4 linked regions of the Drosophila melanogaster genome follow. The protein of the gene in region 1 interacts with the protein of each later gene in a pairwise test. Each region holds a gene or a part of one and is shown in the gene's direction. Other genes may lie near its edges.

The links.
Region 2: the proteins of RhoGAP18B (region 1) and jbug interact in a two-hybrid assay, tested with the Drosophila melanogaster proteins (one large-scale study listed by BioGRID).
Region 3: the proteins of RhoGAP18B (region 1) and CG10086 interact in a two-hybrid assay, tested with the Drosophila melanogaster proteins (one large-scale study listed by BioGRID).
Region 4: the proteins of RhoGAP18B (region 1) and Dif interact in a two-hybrid assay, tested with the Drosophila melanogaster proteins (one large-scale study listed by BioGRID).

What each region holds. Positions count from the first base shown.
Region 1 is NC_004354.4:19,155,188-19,159,905, reverse strand, and holds the start of RhoGAP18B (Rho GTPase activating protein at 18B), read left to right. Parts: upstream 1-1,704; 5' UTR 1,705-1,786; intron 1,787-4,718.
Region 2 is NT_033778.4:22,734,003-22,738,886, reverse strand, and holds the start of jbug (jitterbug), read left to right. Parts: upstream 1-1,841; 5' UTR 1,842-2,045; coding exon 2,046-2,282; intron 2,283-4,690; coding exon 4,691-4,884.
Region 3 is NT_033777.3:7,788,639-7,793,985, forward strand, and holds CG10086 (uncharacterized protein), read left to right. Parts: upstream 1-1,994; 5' UTR 1,995-2,088; coding exon 2,089-2,203; intron 2,204-3,032; coding exon 3,033-4,082; intron 4,083-4,240; coding exon 4,241-4,485; 3' UTR 4,486-4,845; downstream 4,846-5,347. Other genes in the region: CG18746 (uncharacterized protein), read right to left, coding at 76-670, 821-1,029, 1,093-1,242, 1,358-1,469.
Region 4 is NT_033779.5:17,425,199-17,429,797, reverse strand, and holds the start of Dif (Dorsal-related immunity factor), read left to right. Parts: upstream 1-1,598; 5' UTR 1,599-2,142; intron 2,143-4,599.

The sequences.
Region 1 (4,718 bases):
ATCCGCATCTGTATTTGTATTTGTATTCGTATCTGGTGGATACATTTGATGCCGTCGGCAGCGAAGCCAACAACAACAATTGTGTTCATTGTGCTTAATTAATTTAGTTCAAAGATCAAGCGACCATATTGCTGAACATCGGCTGCAATGCGATTCTTCGCCGGCCTCTGCTCATTTTCATTTTTATTTTCATTTTCATTTTTATTTTTATTTTCATTCTCAGTCTCACTCTCATTCGCCTATTTTTTAAGTCTCTTCCCCGGAATTGTTGTTTTTTCCCCAAAGATGCATCCTCATCTTTTCTTTCTCTATTTGCTCCCGGTTCTGTTTTATATGGATTCCGATTTTTGTAAATATCGGTCGTGTACTATATGGATCTTCAAAACATGATTGCGAGCAGTATTATGAGGAACAGGATTATGAGGATTGGTTTCAAAATTCAATAAGAAATAAGAGAGCTTACGGTTCGTGCTGAAAGTGCAGTTCTCATTTTCATATCGGAATTGCTTGCAATAAAGTGTTGAGCAAAAGTATGTATGTACATATGTATATGCATATCGTAATCGGTTTACGCAACTGTTGTGCATAAATTGAACAGTGTTTAGCATTCATCATGGTTACTTACACAGCTCGATCCACCCGCCCAGCACCGCCCCCTCTGCGGTCCCAGAACCGACCCCAGCCCCCCCCTTTTTTTGCACCCCCTACTCCCAACTCAGCCGAACTGAAAAACAAACTCCCAACCCTCGACAGCACCCCCCCCCCCTTTACCACCCTCCTTCAGGGACCGCACTCGATATGCTTAATTAGGCAACGGGCGTTGAGTATAAAAAGCGTCTTTTGTCGCTGCCACGCCCCACCCTTACCCTCTCACCCCCTCATTAGCCCATGCCACCCCCAACCCTTACACACACACGCACATTCGTGAATGTGGTGGCGCACAGCCAGACAGAGCCACACATGTTGCCCATGTTCCATTACACACATGTGGTTCGGTTTCAGTTCAGTTTTAGGTTTGTTCTGCTCTGCGCTGTTCTGTTCTGTTCTGGGCTTTTGCCTCCCCATCACTGATCTCTGGCCCACACTGGTCAGCATGACATGGGTACGAAGGATAGTTTCAAGCTCGGTTGACATGAGTCATAGTTTCACCGATGATGAATCACAGCTCATAATGGTCCATAGTCATGGTCATAATAATGATCCATAGACTTTGCCTATAAAAGTAAATAACTGTAAGAAATGTATTAGACAAGGCAAGAATTTCTATTGAATCTTATATTAATTTAAAAAGTTTTATTCTAAAGAAACTTATTGATGATATAATTTTGTAAGGCTGGCATATATAGTTAGCATTTATAGTTTTTAAAAATACTGATATATCCTGTAATATATGTATTATATTTCATTTGAATATCTGAAATATTTGAAATTACCCGCTTATAATTCCCAACTTGCTTTTTCATCGGAAGCAACAAAATTTTGTTGCGGGCTTTGGGGGTTAGTGCCCACTTTTGCTGACTAGTGTGGAGTGCTCGAGTTCCCTGGGTGACCGGAGGTCGGCATCGCCATAGCCATAGCCACCGCCACCGACTCGTGGCGTCGACTGCGACTGCGACTGCGACTGCGCGGCGACTGCGACGTCAATCGCTTACGAGGCGGACCGCCACCCAAGAAAATTCTCGGCGGCATCTTGAGTTCAATTTCAGTTGATATTCTGTTAAATTCGCGAACGCGTCGCGCCTGCAGCTCCCGATTTGATGGAGAGCCCCACCTCAAGCCCAATTTCGTAATGCTCCCATTTAAAGCTCGGCTTATCAGTGCTGGCCAAAATCGGTGCTTTTTGTTTTGGTGCTCGGGTTTCGGTATTGAAGCCCACCAAGTGCCTCGATCGATCTACAATAGTTTTAATAATAAAACAGTGCATTTGGGGAAATTGGAGAGAAAGTGAGATAAGCGCTGCGAGATAACGGGACCAATCCCGTTTTATTTGTTCCTTCCTTTCGCCCATAATATGGGTGTGTGTGCTCATGTGTTTCTTGTGAATTACAGTATATTGCTTTTACAATGGCATTCATCGTCATTTATTCATTTGTCGCGCCATCTGAAAATGAACGGCGATGAATCATCGGCATAGGCAAATCAGCGGATTACCCACAATCCACACTGATTGCATTGCTGTCTCCTTGGGGGCTGCACAATTTGGACAGGTTTTATTGACGGGGTCAAGAAGGTCTCGATCGAATGCCCAAAAGTATGCAAGTTTATCACCAAGGCGCCCGAAAAACCAAAGTTTTGCGGTTTTGTTTTTTTTGTATTTGAGGAATCAAACTATAAACTGTGTATTTTGCCAGTGTTTGAAGTTAAACTTAGTTAATTGGGTTCAACAAAATATATATCATAATCATATTAAAAAATATAATATTCAATTGGTTGTGCTACAGCTATTTTTATAGCTATTTATAACGAAACGGATTTTCTGAATGAAAATTTTTAAAAAAGTATATGAATTCGGTATCAATATATTTTTTCTATGCTATTGCTGCATTTTGGTGATTCGTATCAGTACATAAAAACATTTTATTAATGAAATTTTAACACTTTAAAGTGAATCGCAAGCATTTCTTAAGTCATGAAGGATTTGAAATATATACTTTCAAAATTTCCAAAATGAACAACAAGCCCAGTGATGTCAGGCTTCTAAATAGTTTATTCACTTATTTATTAATAACTATGCTTCAGAACCTTCAGACCCTAGGGATTCAATTTAAGAATTGTTTATTTTGTAGAAAGCTAATTAGTTCAGAGAAATGCTCCTAATGAGACCACAACAATTATATTAGTGAAAACACAGTCAATCAGTTATGAAGAATTCCACAAGCCTTTTGTTTGCTATTAAAATTCAAATAGTTTGGAACAATTAAGTGTATGGCTCTTTGTTAAATTATTTCTCGGATTGTTAATATATCACGCAAGTAATTAATCAAGATTTTCTATTTAAATAAATTCGGTTTCTGTATAATTTGTGTGTTTTTTATCAGAGAAATGAATATCTTATAGAATGTTCTGTAAAATTATCTTTTAAAGGACAACCCAAACATGATTATAAAGAATTGAAAATTAATAATACAGGTTATTGTCCAAGCAAACAAGACAACCATTGACCATTGACCCTGATTCTAGACCAAAGTATGATTAACAACACCGTGAAAACGCTTTTACCTACCAACCAACCAACATTTGTGGTACCTAACGATCCAAATCTGTTGTATTTTGAAATATGGTGGTAGGCTACTCTCGACTGGATTTGAATCAGTTTTATTTAAATGACGCTGTAACAACAATTGGTGGTGTTGGAGAATGCGAAACATGTTTTAAGCACCTAAAACCCCTAACCGGTTTCCCCTTTCCGCCCCAAGCCGATTATGATTAATGGCGGCGATCCTAGATCAAAGAATTACGAATAATACGAAGCCCCCGAAGAAGATTTCAAGATCTACCATCGAGATAAACATGATTTCCCCACTTACGCCGATCGAAAGATTAATGCACGGACCCTCGTTTCTTGGCACCTTAACTCCATTAGGCTCACTCTCGCCTTCCGTTCGGGATAACTGTGCACTTGAAAAAAAAAGATAGAATATACATATATTAATATATGTAAAATGAAATTTTGCATATTTCCGTTTTGGTTTTTCAGTAAGAAGGAATTGTAGAATTCTTGTAATATTTTAAATTCCCAAAATCAGTGGCTACTATTTTTTGCCAGTGTGAACTGAGCACATTCCATATTCCACACACCATGTTCCACATTCCATCTACCTGGCGGCACCTGTGAGGCGTAGGTGAGGAAGTCGACGATCGTTACACAATTCTCGACTGGCCGCCAACCTGTTTCTGTTTCTCCGGGGTTTTCTCTGGGGTTTCTCGCCCCTCTCCGCTCTCTTCACCCAGTCATGGCCATCATTTTGAGTCCGAGGGATAAGGACGGGGGTTACGAGAGGACCGACATGGTTTGGTGGATCGGTTAGTGACTCATCTCCGTATATCAACGAAAAACAAAGCTCAAAAGCAGAAGCAGCACTGTGGAATTCTAGTCAGATGAAATGCATTGGGGTTTTTTTTACTTTAAACATTATTTGCATTTAAGCATCAAATGTTTTAGGGCAAACAAACAATTCATTTTAGAGCTCTAAACTGATTAGTGATAAGTGCTCTGGATCTTTTTGGGCGTGAAATATACAGAGATATTGGGTCTAGTTACACATATATTGAATACAGCAATGGGTTCCAATAATATTTTATCAAAATAGCTAATATATGTAAATATTAGAAGAAATGGTAAAGAAATTCACGATAACAGGGTCATATTATTAAAAGCTGTTTGCAATTAGATTCGAAAAATTCATCCTTTAAATTCCCAGATTTAAAAAAAGTCAAGCCAAAGAATTGTGTTTTGAAGGCAAAGCCGATGGTTTGGAGGAAAACTGAGTGCAGAGTGCAGCGACTTTGGCTGAGATAATGAATATCGCTGATTGCAGTCGGAAGCGGGAGGGAAAGAGACAGAAAGAAAGAAAATGAGGGTAGTGGCATCACTTAAAGAGTTCAAGCCCATTGACTTTTCTCAGTGATTACACTGCGAGAACTAAGGTCGTTTTTGGGGTGTTTCTCAAAAAATAATAGTGAGTAATCGAAGATTACAAGTTATTCAATTCACTCGA
Region 2 (4,884 bases), on another chromosome or scaffold:
TTGTAGCTAGGCAGCCACTACAGAATCATTGAGAAATCAATGGCCATTTGGTACACGGTTTTGGCACAAATCAAACTTGAAATCGCACCCACGTCTAGAACGAGGCGTTGAACCAACCAACCATGTGGGTGGCTGTCCCGATGACGACGACTACGAGATTTGGCTGGCCGTGTGGGTTTGCAAGGCAAAAAGCGAAATAAGTATATACGAATGTATATTCGGACAGCAAACAAATCGAAAAGTGTAAAAAATGCCAGACACCTACGTGCACATCGCATTCTGTGATATAGATACACCGATTTGTAGCCTACGATACGTACACTTTTGCCCATTCAAAGTCGAAAATTTCGGCCATTACGTAATGCCCTAAACTAGGTGTGCTAGCTGGCCCTCTTCTGCCATTTAAAGTCACGACAACACTTTCGATATTTACCTGCTGACCAACTGAGTAAACTAAGAAGCGGATTGGTCATTCCCATTACCATTACCATTCCCATTCCCCTTGGCCAATAGCACCACCAATACCATTATCATGACCATTCCCATGACCTTGCCGCCAGCTGAATCTATAGAACTCGCCGAGTAGTGGGGCTCATTCCACTCCGCTGGCGAGTGCAACTAATTAGGTTCATTGCCAATGTCAAGTGTCAGTAAATGACATCAGCCACGGGATCACTCATAAGTCCGAGGAGCAATTCATTAATTTCCACTTTTTGCTGTCCCCGCTGGTTAATTTATTTCATCCAAGCCACGCAGTTTTGTCACTGAGACAAAAACACAACAATGACATCTCTGCTTAAAATAAATTAAGGTACAAATTAGTTTGCGGCAAAGCGGTGTATTTAAGTAGTTAATTGATGTTTTAAGAGGAATTCCATTGAAGAGTTACTAGATTAGCTACGTCAACTGTCTTTTGTAATATTAGTCAGCATGATTTTCTCGCACTGTATTCTCCTGTCGGGGCGTTAAAAAAGTGCTCAAGCCACAACTCATCGCTGTGCCGAGCAAGTGATGAGTGATGTCATCCCAGAGTTGTTTACCTCTCCGAAAAGTGTTTGTCAATAAATAGTATTCGTATTCGTATTCAAAATCTGCATACCAGCCTCGCTCAGAACTGGACGTGCTATGATATATGCGATCTGTGGCAATTGACTTGTTTAGAAACGCAACCGGATTTCCTATAATTAAGTTGGTTAGACGGTCATTTGACGCCTCGTTGTCTTCGCAACGCCGTGTGGAAAAATGCCAAAAAGGCCATTCAGACGGCCAACTTTCGGTTTGCACAAATTGTTTGGGTAAAAGTGCGACAAGTGAAAACGGGCGAACAATTGACAATTGATCGTGGCAGATTTCATTGCTGTGATTACGTCCATTATCTTCTGGGGTGGCTCCCACGTTTACACACATGTTGGCCTTCTAACGTTTGTGAAAGACTTGCCCAAACAGCCACATTCACGACAACCACTGGCATCCACAGTACTGCCCACCAGATCTGCTCGCTTTTTGCCTGCTGTTGCCGCGGCGAAATTCCAAACTAAGTGATTTCTGTTATTTTACAGACTCTTTTTTTTTGTATTATTTTCGCCTTTTTGTTATTTTTGTATTCAATTTTCCTTTTCGCTCGCTTCGTTTTGGCTTGGAAGCGACGAAACCAGTTTTGCTTTATAGCCAGATTCAGAGATATTCGCACACACACATTCGCTGGCGAAACCCCCCGCATTTTTTTTTATAAATTCTCCTGCTGCTCTCTGGAGCTTTGAGCTTTGGCCATGACGTCATCGTTTGTTTTGGCCAGGCCAAGAGAGCAGAGCCGCCCAGATCGACCAGCTAAGCGCAGTTCCAGTTCGCTTCGGGCCGCGAGCGCGTGCAAACGAAACTAAAACTGATACTGAAACCGAAACTGAATAGCATAGCTACAACTTACAGCGATCAGAAGTATCTCATCGCGATCTATCCATTTCTCCCGATCAGTGTTTCGAACGCGAGTTACATCTGTACATACATATGTGCGAGTCGCAGGTGAAGTGCAGTGACGTGCAGTGAAGATGGACGTCAAGGACATAAAAGGCGCCAAGGTGACGCATGCGGGGCTGCTCAAGCACAACTCCGATGGAACCACCGAAACGCAGAAGATCACCCATGCCGGTCTGGTGGCCCGGAGTCCCGAGGGCACCGCCGCCAAGGGTATGAACATACGGGGCAACGAGGACCTCTGGGTAGAGATCCAGGCGAACACATTCCGCAACTGGGTCAACGAGCATTTGCGTGAAACGGGAATGCAGGTGAGTTAAGCCATAGATATATTGTAGATATATTTACATTCCGATTATGCAACACTTTCTAACCGACTGAGTAATGCCTGCCGCCGACTGAATATCTGATCGATCAAGCGCAAAAAACAATTACCCAATCAATGGGCTAGCTCCGTTGAATGTGGAATTCGTAGAACTATTGATGAAGCAGGGCCTGAGAATCGATGAGTGAAATACAAAACGTTTAGATCTGGAATTTTAGCCAGGAAATGATTTGCGAAGGCAGTTGCACATAGAAAAAGTGGCACTGCTTAATGAAGTGTAATTAGGGATAGAAAACAAAATATGAATATGTGAAATAATGAACACTTTTTAATTGAACTCTATACAAATAAAATTTTCGATTATTATAAATCGCAATTAAGAAGCACTTTAAAAGCAAGGTTTTTGAAGTTCATATACTGATCCCATTTAAGCTAAATATAATCGCATAACGAGCGCATTGACTGGTGACAGAACACGTAAAAGTATAAATCGCCATCATAAACTGGGGCTTCGAGCTCTTCCGCGAGTTTCCCTAAAAGGCCGGGCTCATAAAACTCGGCTCAATCGCCCACGCAGATCTTGAACTCCAATGGCAGCAACGACAATTACATTAACAATGATGCCAAGAGTACTCACACGGACTTATGTGTACTGCCAACAATGCATTTCATTTGTCCAGGGACTTTTGAACTGTCACTCGCTTCGACGGATTTTCTCACACGCACCGCACTGAAACGACCTGAACCGACCATATTTGGCCGGTTGAATGCCAAGGCCAACGCATCGAGTTCCCATTAGCAGTTACAATACACAAAACAAGCTAAAGCTTTTGTGCGCGATCTTGCCCGGTTTCGAGTATAAAATTCGGGGTTTTATTTTTTTTTTTTTACTTTTTCGGTTGGGCCAAAAACGTACATACATACGTGTATGTGTACATATGTGATGAGCAAGGCTGAAGACCCCTTAGTAAACAGCGCTAATTGTGACCTGGCTGGCGTCTATTTGGGTCACCAAACCAAAACGAGTCATCCAAGTTTGCGTTTTTTACGCTGTTTACAATTCTAGTTCATGCGTATGCGACAAATAATATTGCAATCCACTTTGTATGACAAATGCATGTGCAAACAAAAGGGAAATGCTTTGATGGGAGCAGATACACGGAGAGAAATATTCAAAGTGACTGCATTGTATGACCTTAACGTTTTAATGCAGTGCAACAACAGTTGCGGCAGGTAGAATTAAATTATCTCAAAATGATTGCCACCATGGAACTGTCGTAATAGAATGACTAGACATTTTCTGACATATAGCAAAAATTTATATGCAAATAAAAGTACATATATATTTTGTTAGGTGAAAACGCAACTCCCAACGAAACTCGAGTTCATATCGTAAAATCAGAGGAATCTTAAAAATTTAAGGGCGGAATAACAGCAGCGACAAATAACAACCTGCGGCAGCTTGTTAGAGAGCCATGGAGCAACTACATATGTGCGATGTGAGATTTTTATGGCATCCAATGAATATTTTCCTAGGCACAAACAAACAGCAACAGACACGCGATTGTCTCCGTACCCAGTTCTCCAGTTTTTTGTCGTATTTTATTTGTTGAGTTGAGTTGAGTGGAGTGGAGTGGAGTTCCCCCCAGTCGAATCGAATGCCGACAGCAGCCAGATAAAAAGCTTTATGTCAAATGCTTAAAATCGCGCACAATTGGTTGCACCCGGGCGGAGAAAGCCGCTCAGTTCGGAGCAGCGAACCTGTTGGGTTCCCAAGCCCATTCTTGAGCTCCATGTGCCATGTTCCGAGATCTGAGCTCCATGCTCCAAGTTCCGAGCAAGCGGTTTACCTTGCAAAGTGGGCCACCAGTTTGCGGAAGGGGCGTTGATTGCTCATTAGGAAGGCTGCCAGTCAAGCGACCTTCTTGCATTTGCGCAGACATGGTAGGCGTTTCGCACATTTGCTAATCTCCATTGGGAACTATGTACATATGTACTACAGCAAGTCTAGTAATCTCAACTAATGCATAGCTATAAAGAAAATGCTGCTAGAGTCATTAAATAAAGATAAAAAATCTCTTCTTTCGAACATTTTTTTGTTTTGGGTTAGCATGCTTTTTAAAATTAAATCTATATAGAATGGAAAAGTAAAAACTACCCACTTAATAAAAGTACATTTTGCAAATCCATTAGACCGTAAAAAGCTAATATCATATTAAATGCAATTATAATAATAAACCTATTATGGAATGCACTCCCATCTCTTACTTGCCACATTACTTGCGTTGCTAAACGGAATGTATTCCAGCAGTAATCTAATTATTTGCCACAAACTTTCCCATTACTATTTCTAATGATACGGAGAAGTTAATGCAAATTCCCATTGTCTCTCAGGTTCATGACTGGGCCACCGATTTCTGCGATGGCACTTGTCTGTGCGCCCTTGTGGAGAATCTGCAGACGCGTCCACTGAAACCCTCGTGGAATCGCCGACCCGCCAACCAGCATCATTATTTGGAGAACGCCACCACGGCGCTGAAGTCCATCGAGGCGGATCACATCAAGCTGGTGAACATCGGCAACGTGGA
Region 3 (5,347 bases), on another chromosome or scaffold:
ATTCCTTGAATTATGATCTTTAAATTCGAATATGGAGTTTTGTATGAATTTCCTTAAAGCTCCTATTTTACTCACCAATTGAAGGATCCGCAGCCCAAGGATTGGGGCTTCCGAGTGCTTCTCCATTCTGTTCGCTGCCAATTAAAATCAAAGCCTTCGCATCTAGCTGCTGGGGTGGCAGAACTTCACCCCAAGTCCTTGGTTCTTTTTGGAGTTGCTTCGTTAGCGGGACACTTCCAATAGTTATGGGCATGTGAAGGGACTGGCCGCCATGACAACCTTTAACTCTGGCCTCCGCTTCCACCTGATAGCCGATCTGAATGATGCTGCATAGATTAAAGCAGGTTGGCGGAGTTGGCGGCACCTTAAGATCGAAGGTAAACTGCTGCCGGCATTTGGTCGACACACCTCCGCCTGTTTTCAGGACCATCTCAAAACGGTCCTTGTTGGTGTCCGCGGACGGGGGTTGACTGTAGTAAATCACCACCATAGTCAGTTTTACGGTTATGTCCTCCACGGCTACACCACTGTCATTGGAGACCATCACCTCCACCGGCACGATCTGTCCTGGCACAAAGCCACTCTGTGGAACAGAAAGTCGCATACTGAGTGGCGACGAGCGGCAGGGAAAACAGCAGAAAGTTCGCTGGGACTCCACTTGACTAGGTACCTAAAATTTATAAAATATAAAAATATAAAATTTTATACTTGACCATGGTACAACCAAAGACACTAGAATTAGACATTATTCTAATGTCTTTGGTACAACACATGGTACAGTGGACTATTCCATAGTGTGTGGAGAGACTAAGAAACATACCCTCAGCATTAGGCTTTCGGAGTTCAGGTCCATCACTTTGATCACAGTGAAGCATCGATTAAAGTTCAGATCGAACTTCCACGGACGCACGAACCTCACGTTCACCAGATAACGTATCCGACCTAGTGTCCCCTCGAAAGAAGAGGGACATGTGATGGGCAACTGACAGGCGAATCTATACGAGCTGGTGCCAGGCTCAATAAGCACCTCTGAAATGGAGCTTTGATTTCATTATCTCTAGATTTATGGTGATTTATCATCTTCGAACATACCTATGCTGGAACTAGACCCGTGCAGATAAGCCCTAGTGGCCAAGTAGTCCACATGTCCGTTGAATGATTCACCATTCGACTGATCATCCGGATCGTGTTCGGTATCCGCCCAGTGGGTTTCGGCATATCCCTTGATGTTAAGGATTACAGCTGAAGTAAAAATAAAAGCTATTTTAAGCCCCTGCAACACTTGCACTTCAAATCAATTAAGTCTTTTAGCAAGTAACGTTTGTTTTGAGTAGAGCAAAATGAATCAGCGCCTTACCTTTCACTGACTTTTCCTTCTCAGTTTTAATGACCACCTGTCCTGAAATCAACTGGCCTGCATAAAAAATTCCTTGGGAATTATTGCAGAACTCAATCTCACAGATTACCATTGTGCGGAATAATTTGTATGATAATCCGGGAGCTGTTTAACTTTTGCCCTGTCTGTGTCGTGGCTCCCAACAAACTGAAGTCACCCGCTGCGGCTATTTTTATTTTATTTTTTGTGCAGCATTTATTTGGCCAACATTTTTATTTTATCTTATCAATGCGATAGGTATCTCAGTATTTAAACACAAATTTTTACCATTGCTATCGGAGTATTTACATATGTAAGTGACAGCAATTTGAGAAGTACGAAATTGGCAGGCAGAACTGATCGATGAGGGCCAGTTTTCCCAAGGTTGAGATAGCGATGATAGGGCGTTGTACCAATAAAGAAATAGAGGATAATGGAGTCCCTGATTTATCGCATAAGTTGTTAATAAATTAATGAAGGAATTTCTCTCAACTGGCCGCGTTGCCAACTATCCAGATAGACAAATATTGCAGTGGGTTTTGTACTGAGTTGAGCCGATAAGATAATGCCAGCCGACGGTAAAACTGAAAATGAGAGTCCAGGCCATGTTAGCAATACAGTTGGCCCAGTTCGTGTTTAGCAGCGGGCGCGTTAGGATCGCTCGCAAATCTAAAAGCTCTGGAGAGGCATAAGCCCATTACCTATTCGCCAACATGTCGAAGAACTGCATGATAACGTTCGACCAGAATGAGCACGGCACCTACTTCACCGGCCAGGTGATAACCGGCAAGGTGATTGTCAATCTGAACAAGACCAAGAAACTGCGAGGTAAGTAAGACCAACTAGGATACCCCAACAGTACGGAAACTAGTGGGGGCTTTCGCTTATCGAGCGCGGCGTATCTTATCGCTTCGGATAATGTCAGGTTTGGCAAAAGCAAAAGATTCAACAAACCATTGAAATGGGTAATTAAGTGATAACTATGCGGACACTCCAAATGTGCGATAATTGATGATTCCTGGAGCCGAAGGGGAGCGATAACAACCTTACTTATAGTTGGGGATCTACCCAACGAATTATATTTTCTTTCGAGGAAATACCAGGGAACTTACTCACGGTTTTCGTCTGGGCTTTGCAGTGATATGGACAACAAGTTTTGTTGATTCTTCGAAATATATGTTTTCTACTTCTATTTAAAAAAAAAAAGGTTAATTTTTGTCTTTAAGTTATTTCATTTCCATTTTGCATCTGCGTGCTTGCAGCCCAAATCAAATATTTAAACAATTTGAATAATTTTATAGTGTGCGTCAACAGTTTCCGTATTAGTTAAATTTAAAATGCCCCTAAGACGCTTTTATTAACTGTTTTTGGAAATGTCTTTCAGTGCTTCTCGCTTTTGTTTTATCTTATCCTAATATTACCCCTACCTTATGAGGTAACCCAAAGAGATAAACAAAGTGAGCTAGTTTTATTAGGAAGCCCGTTGTATTTTTTTTTAACTTTTTTATTAAGGTACTGATTTCTTTGTCTATATTATAGCCTATATTATAGTATTATTATGGAAATATTATAAATGTTAGTCAGCACATCTCATATTTCTCTGTTAAGAAGTCATGTTATTGAAGATCTACATATTCTAATATTTCTTGTCTTTTAGGAATAAAACTGCAAATAAGTGGCTATGCGCAAGCCCAGTGGCGCATCCGCAGACATGGTAAGGCGGTGGCAATCCAAAACCCCAAGAAGCGATCAAAGCACCAGTACAGCGGGCGGGAGGACTATATAGCCTCCACCACTTACCTCATGGGTTCCGAGCAGGGCAGCAACTTTAACATGGACGCCGGCACGTACACCTACACTTTTGCTTGCCCCATTCCCAGCCACTGCCCCTCGTCCTTCGAGGGTGCCTATGGACACATCCGGTATCTGGCCAAGGTCACCTTTTTGAAGCCAGGAGCTTCCAATCGCACCCACAACGTGGGCTTCACTGTGCTAAAGCTGCTGGACTTGAACCAGGAGACCAAGATGCTCCGGGAACCGGCGAGCAATGAAGCCGTGGAACACTTTTGCCTGATGCACACGAAGCCCGTGCAGTTGAAGGTCACTCTCCAGCAGCAGGGCTATGTTCCGGGTCAGTTCATGTTGATCCACGCCCATGTGCGTAATGACTCCAGCTCCGATTGTCGGAAGCTACTGATCATGCTGCATTTGAGAGCCACATACACGGCGGATACGCCCTCGCTACGCACCACATCCGAGAAGATAATGCTGGTGAAGCGCGAGTGCGGTCCGGTGGCTCATAATGCGCAGAGGACTTACACGGAAACCCTGAGGATTCCGGCAACGGCGCCCACCTGCGAGCACCTAAGCAAGGTGGTGCGCGTATCTTACGAAGTGCGTGTGGTGGCTGTTATGAACTGGCTTATGGCTAATCCCCGGCTCATAATCCCTGTGACTATTGGCAACGTGCCCCTGGCAACTGCGGTGTCCGGACCGGACTTCCTGCCAACTAACGCCTTCCCATCTGGAAGTTCGCTGCCTGCCGACTTGCCATGCACCTCTACAAGGGCCATGGAACTGGCTCAGATGGCCGCAAGCGGGGTCAGCAACTCCGGCTACGAGATGGCCGAGGATCTAGAGGACTTCGAGCTTCCAGAGGATGGAGATGATGAGTTGGAGGCCGCCGACGATTTCGTACCAGATTTACGTGAGTACAAGAGAACAAAATATTTCTAGCTAGGACTTTGTTATGAAAGATGTTAAATAGAGCCCTTATGTATATGTTCTTTATATTTTTGTTATGCTATTGTGAGGCGATAGTTTCATTCTTCATTCTCCATATTTTTTATGTCATTTTTTCTATAGCTCCTCCTACCTACGAGCAGGCCATGTTCATGACCACTGATATTGCGGACACGGACGCGAACACGGTCAGCGAGGCCTCCCGATTTACTCCACGCTATCCGGTCTTCGATGTGGACACCTTCCAGAGCCCGCCGCCAAATCCTCCCCAGAAGAAAAGGCGCCGCCGACGCAGACGTCCTGCCGATCCTGGACAGTCGAAGCAACAACCGGAGAAACAACCAGTGGAGTCACCCGTGCAGATCTGAGGGCAGTTATCGCGAAAAATCACGACTATATCTTATCTCGGCAGTATTTATTTCTTTTACGGTTCGCCAGTGTACTTACCAAAATGTTTACTATATATGTATGTATATCGGAATGATAAACAACCCAGAATATAAAAGTGTCTACTGGGTGATACGCGATAAATTGCGACTATAGCCTAGACAACCAAGTCCATGAAGGCATTGAACTACAAATTTATTTATTCATTTATAAATTAAATTGAGTGGAGGACTTCTAGCTCAGTCCGTGAGTTTAAATACTTATGAGAGCTAGAAATTTTGATTTACGCATACATGCTCCCAATTTCTAATTCTATTGCTTGACAATTTCCATTAAAATGCAAAAAAAAAATGTATAACTTCCTCTCTATCTGAGTAACAGGTATCTGATCCGGCCCATTCCGAATTATATAGAATATATAGCATAGAAACGGACATGCATTTATCGCCTTAATACTGATCAAACATTCTCTCGACTGTCAAGATACCCTTTGGTTGCTACGCACCACGATAGAAAATCAGGAACTTCTTGGACTTTTGCGCGTTTGTAAATGAGTACAAATCATCATTAACAAACGTAATCAACTATCACAGACTTAAGTCCATAGACGACTTAACTTGATGTGATTCTTTTTCACCGTATTTCGTCCAAAAAATAATAACAACGCGATAATAACAACTCAACTAAACTAGAGCTTTCACAGAACCCACCTGATTTTTGTTTACAAATTTTTAGATTTGTTGTTGCCTTATTCTTCGTAACAAAACAAACAAAAAAGAGAACCGTTTATCAAAATCCGATGCCTCTCAATTTTGTTTTTTTTTTTTAGTGAGCGGAAGCCCC
Region 4 (4,599 bases), on another chromosome or scaffold:
TTCTCTTCTTCTTCGGGGAGCTTAATAAAGAGTTGGAGATTTCTGTGACGTCTGATATGTTTACTGAAAGTGGCTACTACGTCATGGGGCATTTGTCATACATGTATGGCTAAAAGCACAATCGCAACTAAAATCCTTCTACAGTGATCCCTAGCCATAAAGAGCAAGAAATTTTAAAATAATAGAATAAAAGTGTGGATTACAATTGTAAATTTGATAATAACATGTTCAAAAAGTTATACAAATTGTCGTACTATATTTTCATCTATATCTAAATATTCATATTTGCTCAATAAATTGCTAAATAAATAAATATCTGTTTTCCTAACTTAAAATTTCTCAAACCCCAGAGCTGAAATAGTTTAGTTTATTTTTGCACGTCCTGAGGTATTCTTGGCTTTGTTGCAATCCTATATAGATGTAAATTGCGGCCGGGAAATTTGCTCCCAAAATGCATTTTGTCCGCAGACGAGCCCACGCTACATGAAAACTGTGTTTTTAGTTCGAAATTTTCGTGGGCTAGCAGAAATAAATTATACTATTTTCATTCATGCACAACAATAATGAAATATTTCCACCCGATTGGCAATGTTAACTGCAAATATTTTTCCCCTACGTGTTTGGTCTGCACTTGTGTTTATTTCAATGACTAAAATCTGTCTATGGAACAGAAGCCAAAAATTGAGTTAATAACTCAGTTCGACCTTAGACGTTGGCGAATCTTTTTTCGGTCTCATTTGGGAATTTTGTTGGCGTGAATTAGCAACGTTGTATGGATTTTATAATTTACATTTGCCGAGGGTCGAACTCGTTTCAGGTCTGTCAATTCCTGGGAAAATCAATAAAAACATTCAGCTGTCATACCTATATTAGATAAATAGATCTATTGTTATGCATCTGGCTAATAGTTGTCGATTTTTTTCGGCTTCTCATTCCAGAATGGCGAATGATTCACATAAAGAAAAACTTTTCCTCCTATCTGATCTTATAATAAACCTTTGATCTTGATTTGTCCAGAAACCTGTGCACTATTTTAAACGAATTTTTAATGAGAAAAGAGTTCATGTGAAATAACATCTTAGGTATTTTGAATTTTTATGATATTTCCAAACCATTCATAACAATAAATTTTCATTCCCAGCAAAAAGTACACATTTTTTTGTAAGGGAATCAATGTTTACTTATAGCCGAAAATCGAAATTGGAACACCTGCAGAGCGTTATAAAAATCTCAACACTTTTCCAAATCCACTTAAAAATCTATAACCATTTTTTCTGCTCGATGGCGTCATAGGAACGCACTTGAACACAAATACATTAGAGAGAACGAAACATTGAGTACGCACAACGGAAATGAAAATAAATAAAGGAAAAGTGAAGCAGTTTCGAAAATAAAAACAGATATTGGCACCCTCCGTCAGTTGCGATCAGCAACCATCATATCAGCAGCGGTAACTTTTTATCACGTATACGTATCACGTATACGTATCAAGTATACGAACCGAATGCATGCGATCGCAGAGAGCGAACAGCTGAGAATGGAGCCTGAGCTATCGAAGCCATTCCGAAGCTCTCTTGCAGCCGAGTGTGAAGCGAACCGCTCAGTTTCAATCTGAACTTGGCCGCCGACGGACGTGAAGCGCCGACTTGTTCACACATAGATATCCATACATATATATATACATATAGATGTACATATAACGCATATTGTGCAAGTCGCACGCGACTATATAGCTGCCAGTGTATTGGTTAATTATACGAAGCACGACAACTACAACGTAAACTACAGATGTGTGTATAAATCAATGTCCGCTCTAAACAGGCGGCTGCAGTGTCAATAGCAAAAATTAAACAAAACTCAAAAGTAAAATACATGAGCGGAGCAACAACGTCGCTTGTGGGAGCAACTTTTGTTTTTGTTTTCAATTTCTTCATAATTTTTTTGGCGCGCCTTTTGTGAGTCGCGCGCGATAAGTCCGACACATAAACCGAAAACCAGTCAATCATAAAAGACAAATTTAATCAATTACACGTGTCAACACAACAAAGAGCTAATTCGATTTCTGTCTGACCCAGTGCATTCGGATCGAGAATCCAAATTTAATCAAGCATTTAAAGCAGCCTACCTACTACACCATAAAAGGTTAGCTATAATAAATTTTCTGAAACTATAGTCAGCTAGCTAGCTTAAGGCGTAGTTTGTAAAGTCCCCGGTCCAGAAGGCGGCTTTAGAAACTTAGGTACAGACAGCTTCCCGTGTCAGGTTCGATTGCAATGGCACTGCAAAAAACTACGTGCCAGCAACTCGGCGGAATTCATAAATTTTAATCCCAGATACATAAATAAGTACACAATTTTCCGATGCGGGCAATTACTTATCTAATGCCACGTGTAATGAAATTTGTATTTATTAATAGTGAAGTGAAAAACGGGAATACGGCCGGGTTCACTAGACTGCGTAATCGCAAAAAAAAACGACAAAAAATTTTAATTTTTAGTGTATTATTTTTATTTTGTTTTTTTTGTCCATGCGGGAAATATTTTAAATATTTTTGTGACTTCTTTAATCTACTTCCTGTTTGATTTGAACCTAAACACCCGAAAGATTATAGGCATAGCTATATCAATACATTAAATATAGACTTTGTGCAATACTTCGTAAATATTTATTAAAATATGGTATGTTTTTGCTTATCAGCAAATATATATTTCTGCTAGTGTAACTGCAGTTTTGCAACCCAACAGGCGTATAATATATGCAAATGAAAACAAGAAAGGCGGTTGACTGCGATTTATTAAAAGAGAATAACACTCAGTACGACATTTACTAGTAGTCCCAGTGTTTCTTTCTTGTTTTATTGGTCGACTACGAAAAATCATTAACATACTGGTTCAGATTTGTACATTTGCACATAACATATGCCGGAACTGCACCCTAGAGTAGACATTTCCTCCCAAGAGCAATAATGTATGCAATTATAAACATTATAACTCTTATCTCAAAATTATAGTGCCAAAGCTGTTTGTGACGTTTTCACATTTCAAGCTGTTGTATTGGAAATAATTTAGGCGTTGATATAAAAAATTGGAAGAATATAGCTACTCAGTTAGTCTTTAAATAACTTTCCAAATGTGAAAGAAAATCTGCTCAAGAGGAGCCAAAAAGAAGAGGAATTCAATGGTCAAAAAAAAAAAAATCGAAGCAAATGCAAATATTTATATTAACAAAATGTAAATATTTTTACAACTGAAATCGGCACGGCAAAAGTTTATAAAAATTTGCGGTGGCATCTGGAAGATTTCGTTTATTTCATTTGTAATCAAAGGAATATACAACCTGAACCGTGGAACTGAAACTGCAATCGAAAGACACGAAATGGCATAAAGTCTTTAAGACTTTTGCCTTATCCGCACGCAAAACATTCGGCCATTTGGCCGTTTCGGAATCCATAAAAATAGAATGAAATGGAACAGTCATGGTCAAAACTTACTCAAATATCGATTTATCTGCTCCCAGCCAGCAGCTATCTAACTTGTATTGGGCGATGAACCGATGATGCCAACGGCAGCGGAATTGTTTTCGGTAATTGTAGAAAATAAAACACAAACAAAGTCCGCACTTTTCACACCTTTTGGTCCATGTGTGTGCGATTGCTTACATACAGTATAAAGTCGCAGTCTAGCTATAACTTTGCCAATTGTATTAAGCAGACTTGTTTCCGAATTGAAAGTTATTGTAAATTAAATGCCAGCGGGAGAAGGAAGGTCACAGCCTGTACACACATTTGTGTGTAGGGTGCAAGTCTAATTGGTAAACAATTGAGAAACGGTCAAAACGATGAACTCTGGATAGAGCTGGTTAAATATATGTTGCTAAGAATTATCAGAAACCTTTGAATTACTTATTCTTTAAATTAAAATTTAAATTAAAATTTAAAGAATACACAATGAGAAGCTTCATGTAAGCTATAGTATTTTCACCCACCAGTAATCGATTCAAAACTATTTTTACTGTAAAATAATATAACAAACTTATACTAATTATGTTTGTTTTCAAGAGTCAATTCAGCTTGATCAGTTTATTGAATACTTGTACACTTTTTCGGAAAACCCAAGAGAGCAAATGCAATTGCTTTGAACTTATTTCAATTAACTGATAAGACTTGAACTTTAATCAGCAAGAAGAAAATCCCAGCGGGGCTTTATATTCTAGTCTCCCTGATAACCCGGCGTGAGATTGAGTACTATACCTTATATATATTTCTTTTCATTTTCCGCATGAACAAAAACCAACTAAACTTTAAAATGATCTGTCATTCACATTTACATCGCCAACCAAAGCCCAAGTTCTACAAACAATTCACGCCACCACACAATTTTACAAACAATGCGGGGAAAAATATAGCTGAATCCCATTACGCATACGCCATGTTGTACCGAATCTGAATTGATTGAATCGTGAAAAGTTTTATAGCAAAATAATTAAATGCTGCGGTTTCCTCCAATTTTCGGCCATCGCGTGTCGGTCGTTTTTCTTGGCTGAAAGCGAATGTACGTACGAACGATTTGTCTTGGCCATTAGAATGGAAATGGCTCCAAC